Linked DNA regions of Callithrix jacchus. The protein of the gene in region 1 purifies or fractionates together with the protein of each later gene. This does not show direct contact. Links are inferred from orthologs where the notes say so. Each region holds a gene or a part of one and is shown on either strand. Other genes may lie near its edges.

What was found.
Region 2: the proteins of DNAJA1 (region 1) and ENDOG purify together in Homo sapiens (affinity purification with mass spectrometry; 3 studies listed by BioGRID and IntAct, counting the BioPlex papers as one, with this or other methods). This does not show direct contact. The link is inferred for Callithrix jacchus from reciprocal best matches to the Homo sapiens genes DNAJA1 and ENDOG.

Annotation. Positions count from the first base shown.
Region 1 is NC_133502.1:140,228,168-140,231,180, reverse strand, and holds part of DNAJA1 (dnaJ homolog subfamily A member 1), read right to left. Parts: intron 1,650-3,013; coding exon 1,534-1,649; intron 1,220-1,533; coding exon 1,119-1,219; intron 1-1,118.
Region 2 is NC_133502.1:177,413,104-177,417,016, reverse strand, and holds the start of ENDOG (endonuclease G, mitochondrial), read right to left. Parts: upstream 2,864-3,913; 5' UTR 2,682-2,863; coding exon 2,175-2,681; intron 675-2,174; coding exon 565-674; intron 1-564. UniProt on the Homo sapiens protein: Endonuclease that preferentially catalyzes the cleavage of double-stranded 5-hydroxymethylcytosine (5hmC)-modified DNA.

The DNA.
Region 1 (3,013 bases):
GCTAACATGGTGAAACCTGTCTACTAAAAACTCAAAAATGAAACCCATCTACTAAAAACACCAGCAGGTGTGGTGGCAGGTGCCTGTAATCCCAGCTACTCAGGAGGCTGAGGCAGAATTGCTTGAACCCAGAAGACGGAGATTGCAGTGATCCAGTATCTTACCACTGCACTCCAGCCTGGGCGATAGAGCAAAACTCCCTCTCAATAATGGGGAAAAAAAGATGTTTTAATTAATATCTTTTGTGATGAGAGGCCAATTTAAGACTGAAATTGACTGGATTGCTTTATACCTATTAACAAATCAAGCATTACACTATTTTGCCATGAAATCTGCAATTATAAAGTGCCTCTAAACTTTAACAGTTACAACTTATAATTAGTAAAATAGCCACTTGTCCAGCACACCCTTCCCACAATCTGTCTTTAAGTATCCAATTAATGATGCAAATACCCCATCCTCAACCTGGTTAACAAAGAATGCTCACTCAACATTAGTAGTATTAGATAAAATTGTTTCGAGATAGGGTCTCATTTTGCCACCCAGGTTGAAGTACAGTGATACAATCTTGGTTCACTGCAGCCTTGACCTCCTAGGCTCAAGCAATCCTCCCACCTCAACCTTGAGAAGAACAATTGCACTACAGGTGCATGTCACCGTACCAGGCTAAGTTTTGTACTTTTTGTCGAGATGGAGTTTTGCCATGTTGCCCAGGCTGGTCTTGAACTCTTGAGCTCAAGTGAACCAACTGTCTAGGCCTCCCAAAGCACTGGGATCATAGGCGTGTGCCAGAGGCATGTAACCAGATCAGTGTATTAATTGCTGGGTAAGGAAAAATATAAACTTCAGATTGCTTGGCATTCAGAAATTTTAATTCTCTCTCTTTTTTTTTTTTTTTTTAAAAAAGACAGGGTTTCACTATCTTTTCTAAGGCCGGGTTGCCCAGGCTGTTCTCAAGCTCCCAGGCTCAAGATATCCTCCTGCCTCAGCCTCCCAAAATGCAGGGATTACAGGCATGAGCTACCATACCTGGCTGAAATTTTTACATTTTTTATTTTAAAAATCAGAGTTTAGTAAGCCAGTTGTTCTTCTCAAATATAAAGTACTTTACAGCTTACCTTAAATTCAATGATTAGGCGACCCTTTTCATATGGTCTACGATAAATTGGCATGCCTTCATTTAGTACACACTTGATATCTCCATGCTTGACAATCTGACCTAAAAACATTGAAGCCAAGTTCTTCTTTAAGTATGGTCACATTTTTATGAAGCAGAGAAAATAAAGAACAGAGAGCATTGTCCTAGCTCACTGGCAGAAGTAAAACTTAGGTGGCAAAACAATCCTGTTACTTTTCATGTATGGGTTTTTTAAGGGCAGACAAGAGAGCCAAGACCTTATAACTTCATCTCAGCCCAGGAAATGGTACGTAACCAAGGAAGAAAAACAATGCGTTTCCCTCTACTGTGTTATCAGGAGACAAGGAAAATACTAGAATAGAAAAGAGAAGCTTAAGCTTGCCTAGTTACCATACCTGGATGAGAGGTGATGACTATGGTTCGGTTGTCAAGAGTAGATATCGGCTTTTGGAAGCCACACAGTGCTTCAACCAGCTGTATGTCCATACACATGAAAAGGTCTTCTCCTCGTCTGCATAAAATATGACACATATTTACATTTTTCAAATCACCAATCAGTAGATGTACCAAAGCAGGCTATTGTTTATTGGTTTAATAAAAGCAAGGGTGTCTTTTGTAAAGATTCTCTTTTCTTCCCCCATTGTAAAAATCAAACAGAGCAGAGATATGGGAATAGCACACATGTAGAACTTGCCAGCCCTGTTTCCTAGATAAGGATTCAAAGTCATTCCACACACTCTAGGCAGCCTTTACCATTTACCATCCCTGAATTGTTTCATTACCTAATTTTTAATCTAGTTTCTCAGAGGGAAAAAAATAACAAAACTCACAAGAGTGAGGCTTAGGTTGGGCGGTGTAGTTCACACCTGTCATCTCAGCACTTTGGGAGGCTGAGGCGAGTCAATCACCTAAGGTTGGGAGTTCAAGACCAGCCTGGTCGACATGTTGAAACCCCTTTCTACTAAAAATACAAAAAAAATTAGCCATGTGTGGTGGCACACACCTGTGATCCCAGCTACTCAGGAGGCTGAGGCAGGAGAATCACTTGAACCTGGAGGCGGAGCTTGCAGTGAGCTGAGATTGTGCCACTGCACTCCAGCCTGGGCAGGGTCCTAGATAATTTAGACTCCATGAAATTAAATAAGGGGGTTATATGACCAATTTATTTTTAATTGACTTTAAGAATTTCCTCATTGATGTACCTGAAATACAGTTCCTGGCACACTGTGAGTGAATACAGCCTTTCATATTTAACAGCCCACTTCCTCCTCATGCTTAGACTTTCCTCTTTTCCAGCCCACATTAATAAAATATCTTTAATCTTTAATACTCTTCTCAAATGACAACATCAAAATCCTAAGCTTGACAACCCTTTCCATTATCTTCAGACATTTGTGAAATACTTTGTTTTTTTGAGACTAAGTTTCACTCTTGTTGCCCAGGCTGGGGGTGCAATGGTGCAATCTGGACTTACTACAACCTCTGCCTCCCTGGTTCAAGTGATTCTCCTGCCTCAACCTCCCAAGTAGCTGGGATTATAGGTGCCCACCATCACGCCTGGCTAATTTCTGTATTTTTAACAGAGATGGCATTTCACCATGTTGGCCAGGCTGGTCTCAAACTCCCAACCTCAGGTGATCCACCTGCCTTGGCCTCCCAAAGTGTTGAGACTACAGGTGTGAGCCACCACCAGCCAAAATATTAATAATTCTAAACAAGTTTAAGATGTTCCCAATTTCACCTCCAGTCCACTTAAAAAAAAAAAAAAAAGATGGGCTCTGTCACCCAAGCTATAATGCAGTGGCATGATCATAACCTTCAACTCCTGAGTTCAAGCCACTCTCCTGCCTTGGCCTCCCCAATAGCTAGAATTCC
Region 2 (3,913 bases), about 37 Mb from region 1:
CATCCTGAGCCTATGGATTCCAGAGTGAGGTGCTCAGCCTCGACCTATTGCCTCTCAGTCCCAGGCCTCCGCAGTCCAGAGAAACCACAGAGCATGGCCAGAGGTGCTCAGTCGCTTCCACCTGGGAGGCAAGGGTGGAGGCCCTGGGTCAGGCAGATCTGGGTTCAAACTCCTAAGGGTGGAGGAAAGTGCTCCAAGCAGAGCAGAGACCGAAGGTGGGAGAGCTTGGTGCACCAGGGAACTGCAGGGGTTTCCATATGAGCAGAACAGCATTGGGTAGGTGTGGCAGGAGGTGACAGCAGGGAGAAGTGGGGGCAGATCCAGGGCCTGCTGCTGCCCATGGCCAGAGGAGAGATGGTAGGAGGGTACCCAAAAGGTCTTTGGCTGTGGAAATGGAATGAGGGGACCAAAGGCAGGGAAGCTGACAGACTTGCCAAGACACCAGATGAATAGTGAACAGGTATTGACCCAGAGCCTGGGGCAAGCCTGGCCCTGTGAGGGACAGTAGGGGCCTTGAGTGAGTGGGAGGTCCTGCCACCCCCAGCCTCCTGGTTTCCACCTCACCTGGGCAGGAAGAGTGGCCCTGTGCAGACATAGACATTCTGGTAGCTGCGGGTCAAGCTGCGGCTGTACTTCTCTAGGTTGTTCCAGGCATTCTGGTTGAGGTGGGGCACCTGGGAGGAGGAGGTGGGGCTTAGCAGGACTGTGGCTGGGACCCTTCCTCCTCTATCAGATGGCTGCACTGGGCCCTGAGGGAATGGACATGCCCAGAGATGCCCAGTGGGGGGCAAACATGAGGAAACTGAGGAGCAAGAAATGAAAGTCACTCCCTGAAGCCACATGGAGTCGGGCAGGGCTGACAGAGTGCTAGCCATCACCTGTCCCTCCCACAGCCCAGGTGTCAAAGCTCCCAAGAACCGAATGAAGGAAGGGGCATGTGTCCACCTTTCAGAGAGGACTGAGGCCTGTCCTCAGCCCCACCAGGGGGCTCATGGGAAGACCAGCCCTCCCAACCACCAACACTTTTCTTTTCCCAGTCTGAGCCACAGAAGAGCCTAGCTGGGAATGTTATGAATCTGCCTCCATCTTGAGCTCTCCAGGCCTTGGACAATGGAAAGTGGGTAGGGGGCTGTGCTCTGGAAGGAGGCTGGGTCAGAGGCTGCTACCCCATGGGCTCCACCCAGAGCCCCACGGCAGCCTCCATCCTCTGGTGCTGGGCTCTGCTGAGAACAGGTCAAGAGAGTGGCTGGCCCAGGGTGCACAGTGCTTGGCACTAACACCCTGACGGTGGGCCAGGTGTCTGCTTCGAAACCGATCCAAGGCAGGCAGTATAGGACGATGTCTGGAGACCCACGGTTTTATAGACCAGGGGTCCCCAACACCTGAGCCACAGACTGGTACCAGAACTGGGCCACATGGGAGGTGAGCAGCAGAAGAGCACCGGAAGCTTCACCTGTATTTACAGCCACGCCCCATCGTTGGCATGGCAGCCTGAGCTCCGCCTCCTGTCAGATCAGTAGCGGCAGGAGACAAGCCGGAAACCTATGGTGAACTGCGCATGCGAGGAGGTTGGGCGCTCCTTTTAAGAATCTAATGCCTGATCTGTCATTGTCGCCCATCACCTCCAGACAGGACTGTCTAGTCTCAGGGAAACAAGCTCAGGGCTCCCACTGATTCTACATTACGTGAGTTGTATGTTTCACTCTATATTACAGTGTAATCATAACAGAAATAAAGTGCATGATAAATGTAATGCACTTGAATCATCCTGAAACCTGCCCTGACCCACCAAGCCGTGGAAAAACTGTCTTCCAGGAAACCGGACCCTGGGGCCAAAAAGGTTGGGGGCTAGGGTTCTACCCAGACTGTCTGCCTTCTGCTGTGTGACACTGTCCGTCACTTTGCCTCTGTGAGCCTCAGCGCCGCATCACTACTGCGGGAGGAAGGTGAAGAACGGTACTGCCCCATTTTTCAGACGAGGAAAGCGACGCTCCGGGGTGCCCAGGGTTCGCAGTTGGAGCTCAAGCCCTGGTCGGCGTGCAGAGCCGCAGCCGGGAGCCCAGGGCTCCTCCCTCCCGCCACGGAATGCGGAGGGCGCGTGGGCAGCTGCCCCATCTACAGAGGAACAAGCCGAGGCCCCGCATTCCGCGACCCGCCCAGGGCGGGGGCGCTACCTGGGGCGCGACATTGCTCAGATAGAACGTGTCGTCCATGGCCTTCTGGCTCCAGCGGTGGTTGGCGGCGGCGGCCAGGTGGCCGCGATCGAAGCCGCTGCCGCGGTAGTCCGCGTTGGTGGCGCGGTGGTACGCATGCACCGAGTCGTCCTCGCGGAAGTCGCAAGCGCGGCGGTCGCCGTCGCCGCGGAGCCGCTCGGGCCGCAGCTGCTCCACCACCCAGAGCGCGCCGCGGGTGCGCGGGTCGTAGCACAGCACGTACGACTCGCGGCTCTTGAGCTGCGCCAGCCCCGGCAGCCCGTACTTAACCAGCTCGCTCGGGCCGCGGCCCGCGGGTTCCCCCGGCACGGCGGGCAAGTCAGCGGCCGCCGCCACGGGCAACACTGGCAACCGACCCAGCAGCCCCGGCGCAGCCTGCGCGTCCTCCCGACGCCGCCGCCAGCTCTCGGCGGCCGCGCCTAGCCCCGCGCCCAGAGCCAGGGTCAGGCTGGCCCGCAGCGCCCGCATGGCGTGGGGGCGACCTCCGGTGGGCGACCCACGAGCTCTTAAAGGAGCCGCGCCGGGGGACCCACTGCAGGGACCGGGCTGCTAGGACCGCGGGCGAGAGTGACTTCGCTTCCAATCACAAACGCTCCCAAGAGCTTGAGAGTCAGAGCCCAGAGGGGAGCAGCCGGCCCCAAGCGAGTGTCCCCGGCGTCCTTTCTCTGCGTATTTAATATGCGGCCTGAGGGGCGTGGCACCCTCACCTTAGCTCGCGATTGGCTCAGGTCAGGTCTGGCTCCGCCCCCACACGCAGGCGCCCAGCCTGTCTGGGGGCGCCCCCTCCTCTGCGCCTGTGCAAGGACCTCCTGCTTAATAAGCACCTCGGCAAGGTCCCGCACTGTCGAGCGCTTTTATTGTCACTGCTTAGTCTCACCCTTTACATGGCCCAGAGAGGGAGCTCCTAGCTCGTAGAACAAGCACAGGGCCCCAGAAATATCTAGCCCCAGGCTATCCTCCATGACACCATTAAAATAAGCCCCGCAACTCTACCAAATTGGCAAAGGTTTTGTTTTTTGTTTTGTGACGGAGTTTCGCTCTTGTTGCCCAGGCTGGGGTTCAGTGGCGCGATCTCAGCTCACCGCAACCTCCCCCTCCCTGGTTCAAGGGATTCTCCTGCCTCAGCCTCCTGAGTAGCTGGGATTACAGGCACGCGCCACCACACTCAGCTAATTTTTGTATTTTTAGTAGAGACGGGGTTTCATCATATTGTTCAGGCTGGTCTCCAACTCTTGACCTCGTGATCCGCCCGCCTTGGCCTCCCAAAGTGCTGGGATCACAGGTGGAGCCACCATGCCCCGCCGAAGCTTTTAAATATATTTTGAAGTCAGGTAATGTGATACCTCCAGCTTTATGCTTTGTTGTTTGTGTGGCGTTTGTGAGAAGGGGTGTCGCTCTATTGTGCAGGCTAGAGTGCAATGGTGCAATGACAGCTCACTGCAACTTCTGGCTCTCAGGCTCAAAGCATCCTCATCGGAGCCGGGACTACAACAAGCATGTGTCACCACGCTCAGCTTTTTTTTCATTTTTGGAGCGACAGGATTTTGCCAAGTTGCCCAGGCTGGTCTCAAATTTCTGAGCTCAAGTGATCTGCCTGCCTCAGCTTCCCAAAGTGCTGGGATTACAGGTGTGAGCCACCATGCCTGGGCATTTTTTTCTATTTCTCTGTAAGATGACATTGGAATCCCTATAAAAACAGG